Macaca fascicularis: one gene and its partners. The protein of the gene in region 3 interacts with the protein of the main gene of each other region in a biochemical or structural test. Links are inferred from orthologs where the notes say so. Each region holds a gene or a part of one and is shown on either strand. Other genes may lie near its edges.

Evidence for each region. The genes of interacting proteins can lie anywhere in the genome.
Region 1: the proteins of ERBB2 (region 3) and SH2B3 form a complex in vitro, tested with the Homo sapiens proteins (2 studies listed by BioGRID and IntAct, with this or other methods). The link is inferred for Macaca fascicularis from reciprocal best matches to the Homo sapiens genes ERBB2 and SH2B3.
Region 2: the proteins of ERBB2 (region 3) and FGR form a complex in vitro, tested with the Homo sapiens proteins (2 studies listed by BioGRID and IntAct, with this or other methods). The link is inferred for Macaca fascicularis from reciprocal best matches to the Homo sapiens genes ERBB2 and FGR.

Annotation. Positions count from the first base shown.
Region 1 is NC_088385.1:118,293,829-118,298,349, reverse strand, and holds the start of SH2B3 (SH2B adapter protein 3), read right to left. Parts: upstream 2,959-4,521; 5' UTR 2,864-2,958; intron 2,067-2,863; exon of another isoform or gene 1,712-2,066; intron 1-1,711. UniProt on the Homo sapiens protein: Links T-cell receptor activation signal to phospholipase C-gamma-1, GRB2 and phosphatidylinositol 3-kinase.
Region 2 is NC_088375.1:207,431,468-207,435,925, reverse strand, and holds the start of FGR (tyrosine-protein kinase Fgr), read right to left. Parts: upstream 2,959-4,458; 5' UTR 2,861-2,958; intron 1-2,860. UniProt on the Homo sapiens protein: Non-receptor tyrosine-protein kinase that transmits signals from cell surface receptors devoid of kinase activity and contributes to the regulation of immune responses, including neutrophil, monocyte, macrophage and mast cell functions, cytoskeleton remodeling in response to extracellular stimuli, phagocytosis, cell adhesion and migration.
Region 3 is NC_088390.1:60,785,743-60,789,245, reverse strand, and holds part of ERBB2 (receptor tyrosine-protein kinase erbB-2), read right to left. Parts: intron 3,082-3,503; exon of another isoform or gene 2,879-3,081; coding exon 2,740-2,878; exon of another isoform or gene 2,660-2,739; coding exon 2,537-2,659; exon of another isoform or gene 2,283-2,536; coding exon 2,184-2,282; intron 1,402-2,183; coding exon 1,216-1,401; intron 1,070-1,215; coding exon 914-1,069; intron 799-913; coding exon 723-798; intron 447-722; coding exon 300-446; intron 1-299. UniProt on the Homo sapiens protein: Protein tyrosine kinase that is part of several cell surface receptor complexes, but that apparently needs a coreceptor for ligand binding. Essential component of a neuregulin-receptor complex, although neuregulins do not interact with it alone.

The DNA.
Region 1 (4,521 bases), on a different chromosome or scaffold from region 3:
TACACACTGGCTCATTAAATCTCCACTGCAAACCTGTCACTCCCCCATTTTACACAGGGGGAAACTGAGGTTCACAAGAGTCACTTGCCCACGCCTTCAGCTGAATGGAGGCAGTAGGAGCAGCAAAACAGTCTCCAGGACCCTCCTCACTATCCTCCTTCGCTTCCTGCTGAGCCCCTGCAGACCCTGAGCCCCCAGCTGCTGATGCTCCGGGCCAGCCCCTTCCCAGCTGGCCACTCTGTGGCCCACGGGGACTCACAGAAGTTCTAGGAATGCTCACCCTTTGGCTCAGAAGGATTTTCCCTCCCAGAGGGGGGTTGTGGGAAAAGGCTCAAGAAAAGTGCACTAAAAACCCTTCCACCTTCCCCCAGTAGGCCCTGGTTCTCATCCCCAGAGCCCAGCCTGCCCAGGTGGCCTCTGCCGGCTCTCCCTCCACGAGGGCAGGTCCCGAGGAGCCTCCAGAGCTGTTTCCACTCAGGCAGCCAGGTCAGTGATGGGAAACCCAGACACAACCTGCGCCTGCATCCCTGGAGACCCACCCGCCCACTGCCCTGGCAGGGGCCCTGAGGCCTGGCTGCTGGCCGGTGTTAGAGAACTGTCATCTCCCCAGCGAGGGGCTGCAAGTCAGATCTGGGTCCCTCTTGCCACCAAAGCAGGCCCTGCCGACATCGCCTTGCCGGGGCCTCTACTCGGAACCCCCGACCAGATTTCACTTCCTCCCACTCAGCCCAGCCTGGCCGTACCCCTCCCTGGAGGCCCCCAGCTGCAGGCAGTGACCTCCTCACCTACATCATTGTGGCTGGGAATGGGGAAGAGAAACAGGAGAATGAGGAAACTAAAGAAAAAAAGAAGCGGGACAGGCAGGAAGACCCTCCTCTCCAGTTCCTCAAATGCAGTCCCCCTCCCTCAAAACAAAGCTCCCCTGGCCGGAGGGAGGGAAGGGAGGGGAGGGGATTTCTGCACCAGGCATCAGAGGCCTCTGAAATACCCTCCCTACCGTGTGGATCCAGAAGACCAACACACACTCCAGACGTTTTTTGGTCGGGGGATTCCCAGGGAACCCCAGGCCAGAGGTGTGAGAGGATCAATCCCAGAAACCTGTGTCTGGGACGCCTAGCCCTGGTGAACCGCCCAGTTCAGCAGCATGCGGGGGCCTGGCCCGGCCCACCTCGGCAGTGCTGGGACTAGGGAGAGGGGCTTCCTGAATCAGGGCGCTACCCTCTTAGCCACATGGTCCGGAATGGGGAGTGGGGAGGACCGGCGCATCCTTCCCCGCTGCCCCCACACCCAAGGGCTCATCTGTGCTCACGGTCTCAGTTTGACTACTTTCACTTTCAGGGTAGCAATGGGTGACCCCTCACCCCTCCTCCCCAGGCACAAGTTGAGGGGAGGGCCGCCCCCAATCGGCGAGGCTACTGTAGGGTGGGCTGGGGACGTCAGCGATGCCCTCTCCCCCATCCCACGGCCGCAGTTACCCGAACGCTCTCCCCAACACGTGTGTGGGTGGGGTAGTGGCTGAGTGGCTGAGTGGGGGTCGTAGGCGCTGGGAGCCGTCACCCCGGAACGCCTCCATCTGAGTTAGCTGCAGGGCAGTATTTTGGGCTGGGGGTGACGCGCACAGCCCGGGCAGAACTGGACACGGGGCCTCCCCTTTCCCCACGAAAGCCTTCCCGGCCCCGGAGGAGGGGGGCGCGGGCAAACGCGGGCTCACCTGAGAGACAGGAGCTCTGGGCCCGGCCGGCCCATGGCGTCGCGCGCCCCCGGGCCCCCGAAATCCCGAGGGGGCGGGCGGGCCCCCGCCCTGGGCGCGTCCTCTCCCGCGCGCCGGCTCCTCGCTCGCGGCTCGCTCTAGCGGGGCTCAGGCAGGAAACCCGGGCTCGGAAAATGGCCAGCGCCTCATCATTTCCGCCGCCAGCGCTTGACAGTTGCGGGAGGATGCGCCCCCGGGCCGCCGCCGCCGGGGAAACTTTGCAGCGGCCGCCGTCGCCACCGCGGGCCACGACAGTCCGGGCGGGCAGCCGGGCGGAGGCGGTGGCCCGGGCCCATGCCGCCCCGCGCCGTTATGTAAAGAGGAACCGGCTGTGCGAGCGGAGCCCGGCGGGGGAGGGCGGCCGCGACAGGGGCGGGGCAGGGGCGGGGACACCAGGAGCCACGCCCCAGGCCGCGCGCGAGTTGGAGACTCGGCTGGAGGGGAGGGCCATGAGGGCGGAGCCAGGACTGGCCCCGCCTGCCAATTCTGCTAGTCCGCGGCTGCCCGGGTCCGAGGGCTCTCCTGGCGCGGGTCCGGAAAAAGACGAGGCCTTGCGAAGCCACGCCCACCACGTGCCCACCCTATTTCGCGTCCCACAGCCTAAAGAAGGAAGGAGGATCGGAGGGGCGGGGCGACCTGAGCCCCACCCACTGAACGCCGGCAGGTCACCAGGTGCCTCAGCGCCTGGAGGCGGGGCCAGATGAAGGGGCGGGGCCTAGGGCGGGCGGGGTCGAGCGGCCTGGCCTCCAGGGGGCGCGCCCCTGCTGACTCCCTCCTGCAGGGCCTTATCAGTGCCCGCAGGGCTGGGCAGTGCAATAGCGACCACGGCTTTCATCATCGCCCGGGGGAGGGAGCCTAGCCCTGCCCGGTCCTGACTATCTGCGATCATGCTGACCCGACCCGCCACGGCCCCAGGCCCCCGATTTGGGTTCTGGTCCCAGCCCTCAGCTTCGCCTTTGCTACAGCCGATGCCCGTATAGACCAGCCTCCCTCCGGCCACCCGTCCTGTCCCCCAATTCTAGGAGGGGTGCATCTTTCTCCAGGAATTCCTCTCGGACCGCTGGCTCCCGTGGACTCTGCGCCCACCGCCCTGCTCGCCCCTGGGCTACTTACATTTTCTCCACGGCCTCATGGGGAGCTGAGGCTGACAGTGGGGTTCCCCCTAGTCCGGAGTGGGGCATGCTCTCAGCCAGCCTCTCCCCCAACATGTGGGAGGTCGGGGAGGGAGGAATGTACTCTTCTCCCCCTCCCCCAACAGGAAACAAGTCGCCCACGCCCCCAGCTTGGAGGGGCCACCTCAAGCCTTCCCGGGCAGCAAATGTCTCCATTCCACTGCCTCCCCCTCTTCCTACCCGGGCAAATGACTTGACTTCTCCGTACCTCCACTTCCTTGCCTATGAAATGGAAATAATGTGTACCCACTCTCCTGGCAGTGAGAATTAAGTGAGTTAATGCATTAAAGCAGTTATCTCGAGGCTTGGCTCCAGGAAGCGCTCTGTGTTAAACAAACCGGCCTCAGTCCTGGCCTTAGAGCTACAGGAAGGGGTTCCCCATAAGGTGGGGATTTCCAGACTCTAAGTAGATGGGGGAAGGGAGCCAGTCTGCTACAGGATTCCTGGTGTCCAATGGCCTTGAAGAAAAGGACCACAAAAATCTGCTTTCCGCGCATAGGTACGAAATACCTACTATGTGCCGAGCACTGTTCTGGGTGCTGGGAACACAGCAGTGAACAACACAAATATCTCTGCCTGCGTGGAGCTGATATTCTAGTGGGGGGACATAAAGGCACGAATAAGTAAGAGGGATCAGTTATGACAATGACAAAACAGTTATGGGATGGAGAGCGGGAAAGGGGTGTCTTAGAGCCGCGACTCACGTAGGACACCTCTGAGGAACTAACATGTGAGCTTAGAATCCCCCACAACAAGAAGGATCCAGGTGCTATAACGTCTGAGGGAAGAGCATTCCAGGCCAAAGGAACAGCATGTGCAAAGGTGCTGAGATGGGAATACATGTGGTGCATTGGAAGAAAGTCATAAAGGCAGTGGTGATACCTATACTGATAAGAGATGATGTTTCAAAGGTGGGCCCATCAAATGGTGTCTTGAAGGTCTTGGTGGGGACTTTGGGAATTATTCTGAGGGCAGTAGGGTGCCATGGAGGGTTGTGAGGAGAAGGACCTGTTGAGCATGGGATTCAAGCTGTTCGCACAGCGTCTGAGGATGTGGGAAGAGGGGTGGGGTGGGGGAATGTCAATGAAGTCTAAACGAGGCCGAGTGCAGTGGCTCACACCTGCAATCCCAGCACTTTGGGAGGCCGAGGCCAGCAGATCACCTGAGGTCAGGAGTTTGAGACCAGCCTGGTCAACATGGTGAAACCCTGTCTCTACTAAAAATATATAAATTAGCCGGGCATGGTGGCAGGTACCTGTCATCCCAGCTACTGGGGAGGCAGAGGCAGGAGAATCACTTGAACCCCGGATGTGGAGGCTGCAGTGAGCCAAGACTGTATCACTGCATTCAAGCCTGGGAGACAGAGCTAGGTTCTGTCTCAAAAAAAAAAAAAAAAAAAAAAAAAAGTCTGAACGGATCATCCCATATTATTTGATCACTTTCTTATACCTGGGGACACTGAGGCCAAGATAGGACCGTTACTTGTCTGTAGCCGTGCACCTGCCAGGCGGCACCCACAGAGCAGCCTGGTACCCAGCCAATGCCAAATGGCTGCTGAAATCTGCCAGCCACAAGCACTTTCCCTCTCACTGCCCAGAC
Region 2 (4,458 bases), on a different chromosome or scaffold from region 3:
GACTCCACCACCACCATGGTGAGGCCAGGTGTGTGCAGGGGGTGTTTGGGGGTAGCCTTTACCCTCCATGTGGTCCCGAAGCCATCAGCAGTTTTTTCCACTTCTTGTGGGTAAAAGCTGTTTTCCACCTGTTGCTGAAAACCACCCACCAGCCTCTAAAACACAGCTCTTTAGGTGCCATCTGTCCTGGGACTCAGGATTTTCAGGAGATGGGAGCCATGGGGGTGTCCAGGGGCAGGCGAGGGATGGGAGTCTAGATTTCAGTGTGACCAGACAGGAAGCCCCGTCCCCGGTTCCTCAGGGGAGGGGGGCGGTGAGGAGGACATCCTGCCTTTTCCCACCTTAGGTCAGCCCAGTCTGCTCCCCGTGGGAAAAGCCCTGCCCCTACTTCTCCAGCTCTGGGGTTCCCTACTCAGCCTCCTGAGGTCTGGCCACTTCCTTTGCCACATCAGCTCCAGGTGGCTGCAGAGAACACCCGAACATCCACCTGTGTGCTCAAGGGTTCATGCTCATTCACTCAGAGACCAAAACATACAAACACTCACACCCTCACTGGAGGAGGGCATGGGAGCACCGACTCACTGGAACGGGAAGTGGTCATGAAGCCCTGGAATCCCACACCCTCCTCCCTGGTGGGGACATGAAACTTGGTCTGGATGAGGTAAGGATTCAGGCCTCAGCTCAGGCTACATCAGAGACGAGATGTCCTGGACTTCTGGTCCCTACTGTTGGCCCTGCAGGTTGCCAACTCCCAAATCTCCATCTTCCCATCTGTGAAGTGGGACCAGGGTCCTGCTCTCCCATCACCACCACAGTCGGAAGGATGCTGAGGACGTCAGGGTCCTTGAGAGTACACACCCGAGGTGTGGCCAACTGGGTGCGGCACCAGAGAGGGTGCGAGACAGATTTCAACTCTGCTGACCTCCCCAGTGTGGGCCCTCATCAGAGCCATAGACTGTTTATTTAGATGTCAACTGAGCGCTGGTCCCTGGAGGCCCTGTCAGTGAGAGCAGGGCTGTCTGGTCCTCATCCATGCTTTTTGTTGCTGTTTTTTTGTTTTTGTTTTTGTTTTTTTTGAGACGGAGTCTCACTCTGTCGCCCAGGCTGGAGTGCAGTGGCCGGATCTCAGCTCACTGCAAGCTCCGCCTCCCGGGTCCACGCCATTCTCCTGCCTCAGCCCCCCGCACCCCCCCCAGTAGCTGGGACTACAGGCCCCCGCCTCGTCCAGCTAGTTTTTTGTATTTTTTTAGTAGAGACGGGGTTTCACCAGGTTAGCCAGGATGGTCTCGATCTCCTGACCTCGTGATCCGCCCGTCTCGGCCTCCCAAAGTGCTGGGATTACAGGCTTGAGCCACCGCCCCCGGCCTCATCCATGCTTTTTGTTGCTGTTTTTTACAGACAAAATCTCACTCTCTCACCCAGGAGCTCTCACTGCAGCCTTGAACTCGTGGATTCCAGCGATCCTCCAGCCTCAGCCTCTGCAGTAGCTAGGACTATAGGCAGGTGCCACCACTTCTGGCCTTCCGGCTAACTATATTTTTTTGTAGAGACAGGACGGGGGTCTCCCTGTGCTGCCCAGGCTGGTCTCCTCTGCATGCTTTTGAGATAGTGAAGGGGAGGCTCGCTGAGTCAGGGATAGCCCTTAACCCTTCAGGACACTCAGCAAATACTGCTTTCTACACCTGATCCTCGTGGGGGAAGGGTGGACACGAGGATAATTTCTCCCCATAGTTCAGATGAGGAAAAGGAGGCCCAGAGAAGCCCCGTAACTTGTCTACAGTCACACAGCAATTAAGGGCCCAGTCTTGCTAAGAACCCAGGTCTCTCAAACAGCAGATCCTCCAACTCAGGATCCCTAAACACAGCGGCATCGCGCCCTCCTAAGTCGGGAAGCCCCCCCCCCCCCACCAGACCGAGGATTCAAAAAGGGGGCGAAGGTGGAGAGCAAAGGGGGCTGCCCCCGCCAGGAGCCCCGCGGCGGCCCAGTGCGGCCCGCCCTCGCGTTGCCATGGAGGCAGCCCCTGCGGGCACTGGCGGTCAAAGGCAGGATTTCCGTCGGGGAGGCAGCAATTCCCGGATCCCGCGGGGAGCGCGGGCCGAGACCGCCGCGGGCGCGGAGGGGGCGCCCGGAGAGGCCAGTCCCTGCTGAGGGCGGGGACTTCCCCAGGAAGAGGGGACCCACGCCTTGCGCACCGGGAAGGAGTCCCCTGCAGCCCGGAACCCACCGCAAGGGCGGGCCGGGAGGGTCGCGGCCGCCTACGTTACCCTGCGGGTTGTGGGCTTCACCCCGACTTCGGCCGGCTCGGAAAAGGGGAACTTCCTGGACCCGCAATTGCACCTCAGGTTCTCCGTCCTCCAGAGATCGTTCTCCTCGACCCTCTTCCCGCCAGCTTCCTCACCTGTTCCCTCCAGCACCCCCACCCATTTCCCTTCTCCCGGACCCATCAGACCCGTCGGCTTCTCCCCGAAGTCCCACTCTCACGATCCCTCCAGTTTCTCCCACAGACCCTCCTGGGGTTCCCCTTAGTCCTTCTCCCCCGCCTGTCTTAGCCCCCCTTCCTAAACTCTCGTAAGTCCCCTCCATTCTACCCACTAGACCTTTTTGGGGTCCCTTTGGTCGGCTTCCCCGGTGCTCCCCTCCGCCCTCTCCCCCAGGTTTATCAGCCTTGCTCTCCAGGTCGCCAGTTTTACTCCTTAGGCCTTTTCGGGCTGGGGTCCCTTTGGCTGTCACCTTGCTCAGGTGTCCCCCCACACCCATGTTCAGGCTTCTCTTCCCCTCCACCCCCAGTCCTCTCCCCAGAGCCCCGAGGGGGAGGGCACTGCCTGACCTGCCCAGCCCCCACCCGACGCGGTCTCTTACCTGGAGCCAAATTCTGCCTGGCCCCGGAGCGAGCCAGCCGGGGCTCCAGCAGCCGCGAGTGCCGGCGTGCGGGGAGAACTGGGGTGCTGCCCGCTTCTGACCGCCGCCCCTGCTGGGCAGGGAGGAGGAAGCCGCCTCGGACTTCTCTTATTGCAGTCGCGGCGGGCGGGCGGTGGTGGTGGCGGGGAGACAGTCACGCCCCAGCCCCAAGCCAGCTGCCCGCAGCGAGGAGGCGCCCTCAGATCCCAGGCCCACCCGCCCCCACCTTCCTCCTCCCCAGGTTACGGGAGGTCAGGTCTGTCACCCTCCAGACCTGAGTCCCCAGCACGGCCTTCCCAAAGGCCCCCTCCAAAAGTGCAGTTTTCGCACCCCTGAAGCACCTGTTCTTTCAGGATCATTGAATTGGAGGTTAAGAGGGGCTTTTCTCCATCACTGAGGACCAGATCGGGACTGGCCTTACTCGAGTTCTCACAGCCAGTTGACTTCAGACTGCTGTCACCAGAGCCACTGGACATGGATCACTTGGACCCTGTCAGCATGCCTTCCCTTCCTCAGGGGCTGGGCACTGGGGACACAGGGCAGTGAGCAGCAGAGGACCTTTCTGTTAGGCAACTGCCTTTCAGAGGAGCGGGAAGGGTGTCAGCCTCCCCCACACACCCAAGTTTTAGAAAAACTGGGCAGGGGGCAGTGGCTCAGCCTGTAACCTCAGCACTTTGGGAGGCTGGGTGGGAGGATTGCTTGCGCCCAGGAATTCCAGACCAGCCTGGGCAACATAGGGAGACACCATCTTTTGTTTTCTAAATTAGCTGGGTGTGCTGTTGTACCCCTGTGGTCCCAGCTACTGTGGAGGTTGAGGTGGAAGGATCCCTTGAGTCAGGCGGGTCGAGGCTGCAGTGAGCTGTGATTGAGCTACTGCACTCTAGCTTGGGTGACAGAGAAAGACCCTGCCTTAAAAAAAAAAAAAAGAATGTGGGTTTTGTTGCAGAAAATGATTTTTTTTTTTAAAGAAAAAAGAAAAACAGTATCTTAGAACATGTGGAAAAAGATTTTTAAAAACAAGAGAAACAGTAGTATCCTCTATCAGTTCCAATCTCTCTGTCTGGTAGGGATCCCTGACCCTTCCTCAACCTGGGGTTCAGTCCCCACTCCCACCACTGTTACTTCAGCCTTAAAAGCAAGAACCCGGAATATCCCTCCTGTCTAGGAAAGGAAGAGGTGTGGTGGGGAGGGCTGTTTGGTGGAGAAGTATGTGTCAGTTGGGATGTGGTGAGAGGCAGGGAGAGTGTGTATAAACACAGAAGAGAGAGAGAGTGTGTGTGTGTGTGTGTGTGTGTGAGAGAGAGAGAGAGAGAGAGAGAGAGGGAGAGATAGAGAGAGAGAGAGACAGAGAGAAAGAGAGAAAGCAATGACATGATGACTTTGCTTTTGGAATCAACAACTAGGCCACGGCATGCAGGCAGGTGTGTTTGTATGTATGGGCAGGAGCGTGTGGGGATGTATGTGTGCATGCGTTCACATGCTCAAGTATGTCCCAATGTGACTGGGGTAACAGAGTGGTGGGATGCAGATAAGAATGCTTTTCTCTTAGGAAATGGGAG
Region 3 (3,503 bases):
AGTCTGGTCTTGAACTCCTGGCTTCAAGGGATCTTCCCACCTCAGCCTCCCAAAGTACTGGGATTACAGGCATGAGCCACTGTGCCCAGCTTAATATTGTACATAAGGTTCTCTAGTTGTTCCTCAAGAGTGGCTTTGGACTTTGACTGTAAAAGGGATATGAGAAGGTTTTGAGGCTCCTAATATACCAGGGTTCCTGGGTCTACATACATCCTGGTCCCCTTTCATGCCCTTTGTGGGCTTCTCGACCCAGGACCTCCCACCCTCCTCCAGGCAGCCCGCACAGCTCAGCCACGCACATTTGACCATGATCATGTAGACATCAATGGTGCAGATGGGGGGCTGGGGCAGCCGCTCCCCCTTTTCCAGCAGGTCAGGGATCTCCCGGGCTGGGATCCCATCGTAAGGTTTGGCCCCAAAAGTCATCAGCTCCCACACAGTCACACCTAAGGCAGAGACAGGGTCAGGAGTGGGAGGGCCAGAGGTTCTGCCCAGGAGTCTGGCATCATGGCAGCAGGGGGGAGATGTGATGCCAGGAGACAGAATCTACCCAGTCTTTCCCTAATCCTGGGAAGTGCACAGACCCTGCAAGGTGGGGCACAGGCAGCCCCTTCCCTCCCTCCACATGCTGAGGTGGCCCCATAATTCTCCCCATCCCAGCTCTCATCCTCCCTCCAGCCATGACTCCTCACCCACCCCTCCCAACACTCCCCACCACACACCATAACTCCACACATCACTCTGGTGGGTGAACCGCCGTCGGAGAATGGACTCCAGCGCCATCCACTTGATGGGCACCTGGGAGGGCAGAAGAGGAAGTCCTCCAACTGTGTGTGGTGGGGAGGTGGCCACTCAGAGTTCTCCCAGGGGCCAGACCCCACTCCACCCGACTTCCTCTGCTCCTTCACCTAACCTTGCCCCCATCTGCATGGTACTCTGTCTCGTCAATGTCCAGCAGCCGAGCCAGCCCAAAGTCTGTAATTTTGACATGGTTGGGACTCTTGACCAGCACGTTCCGAGCAGCCAAGTCCCTGTGTACGAGCCGCACATCCTCCAGGTAGCTCATCCCCTGGAATGGGAAGCACCCAGGTAGACCTTCTGGGAGGGCCTGGCCCTGGTCATATGCCCAGGAAGAGTCCCCATCCTAGCCCCTTGTGGACATAGGGGCTTGCTCCAAAGGGACCCGCAAAGAGCCCAGGTGCCCTAAGTGCATACCTTGGCAATCTGCATACACCAGTTCAGCAGGTCCTGGGAGCCCAGGCGTCCACGGTTTTCTCGGACATGGTCTAAGAGGCAGCCATAGGGCATAAGCTGTGTCACCAGCTGCACCGTGGATGTCAGGCAGATGCCCAGGAGGCGGGAGACATATGGGGAGCCCACACCAGCCATCACGTATGCTTCCTGGGGACAAGGGTACACTGAGAGGGTATGGGAGACCTCACACCCCCAAACACCACACAGTCTCCCAACCATCACACAGCCTCCCAACCACCACACACCCCCAAACACCACACAGCCTCGCAACCACCACACAGCCTCCCGACCATCACAAACCACAGCCGCGGCTCACGGCCTGTGAATGCCCAAAGTACCAGCCTGGCCAACATGGTGAAACCCCGTCTCTACTAAAAATACAAAAATTAGGCCGGGCACGGTGGCTCACGCCTGTAATCCCAGCACTTTGGGAGGCCGAGGCAGGCGGATCACGAGGTCAGGAGTTTGAGACCAGCTTGGCCAACATGGTGAAACCCCATCTCTACTAAAAATACAAAAATTAGCCGGGCGTGATGGCTCACACCTATAATCTCAGTTACTCAGGAGACTGAGGGAGGAGAATTGCTTTAACCTGGGAGGCCGAGCCAAGACCACGCCATTTCACTCCAGCCTGGGTGACAGAGCGAGACTCTGTCTCAAAAAAAAAAAAAAAACAGGCAGGTGCTTGTAATTCCAGCTACTCAGGAGCCTAAGGCATGAAAATCGCTTGAGCCCAGGAGGTGGAGGTTGCAGTGAGCTGAGATCACGCCACTGCACTCCAGCCTGGGTGACAGAGCAAGGCTCCGTCTCCAAAAAAATAGTCTAGGTTTGCGGGAGTCATATCTCCCCAAACCCCAATGAAGAGACCAGAGCCCAGACCTGCAGCCATGGGGTCCTTCCTGTCAGCAGAAGAGGGTAGAGGGGCTTACGTCTAAGATTTCTTTGTTGGCTTTGGGGGATGTGTTTTCCCTCAACACTTTGATGGCCACTGGAATTTTCACATTCTCCCCATCAGGGATCCAGATGCCCTGGGCAGAAAGAAGAGGATGTGAGTGAGAAGAGCGTGGGCTGGATCCTACCTGCCTTCCAGGAGATCATTACTTGTGCTCCAAACATCCTTCCCCACCCTGGGGCTTGCTCCCGTTCCCTTCTGCTCCGCTGTAACTGCCCTCCCCCAAATACTGCCTCCGGCTCTTGCCCCTCCCATCGGAACTGCCGACCACACCCCTCCAGGCACCGCCCCCACCTTCTGGGGCCGCCCACCCCAGGACCTGGCTCTGACCTTGTAGACTGTGCCAAAAGCTCCAGATCCAAGCACCTTCACCTTCCTCAGCTCCGTCTCTTTCAGGATCCGCATCTGCGCCTGGTTGGGCATCGCTCCACTCGGTGTCAGTGGCTCCACCAGCTGGGGTGAGGGGGTGGTGGGTCAGTGCCGGGAGCCAGTGGAGACCCCACGCGGGCTGGCAGGCCTTCACCCCGCCTTACCTCCGTTTCCTGCAGCAGCCTCCGCATCGTGTACTTCCGGATCTTCTGCTGCCGTCGCTTGATGAGGATTCCAAAGACCACCCCCAAGACCACGACCAGCAGAATGCCCACCACAGCAGAGATGATGGACGTCAGAGGGCTGGGGGCGGAGCCAGGGTCAGGGATTGAGGGCTAGTTTGGGGTAGGAGGGACAAAGGGGGCCCACGGGGGACATGAAGAAGGTGTTTGGCATTCAGAAAGGGAAGTCGGAAGGGTGACCCACAGGCTTGGACCCTCTCCTACTCTAAACCTGCCTTGGCTCCGCACTGCCTCCACAATAAAGTCCAAACTCCTTGTAGGCAATCAGAGCCCTCTCCATATCTCCAGATTCTCTATACTTGGTTCTCTAGCCTTGGCTCTGCCTTAGAGCTCCAACACTTTATGGTGTAAAAATCACTAAGGATGCTGGGCACAGTGGCTCACGCCTGGAATCCCAGCACTTTGGGAGGCTGAGGCGGGTGGATCACAAGGTCAGGAGTTCGAGACCGGCCTGGCCAACATAGTGAAATCCCGTCTCTACTAAAAATACACACAAAAAAATGAGCTGGGCATGGTGTGAGTGCCTGTAATCCCAGCTGCTTGGGAGACTGAGGCAGGAGAATCACTTGAACCCAGGAGACGGAGGTTGCAGTGAGCCGAGATTGCGCCACTGCACTACAGCCTGGGCAACAGTAAGAGACTCCATCTCAAAAAAAAAAAAAATCACTAAGGAGACTGTTAATACA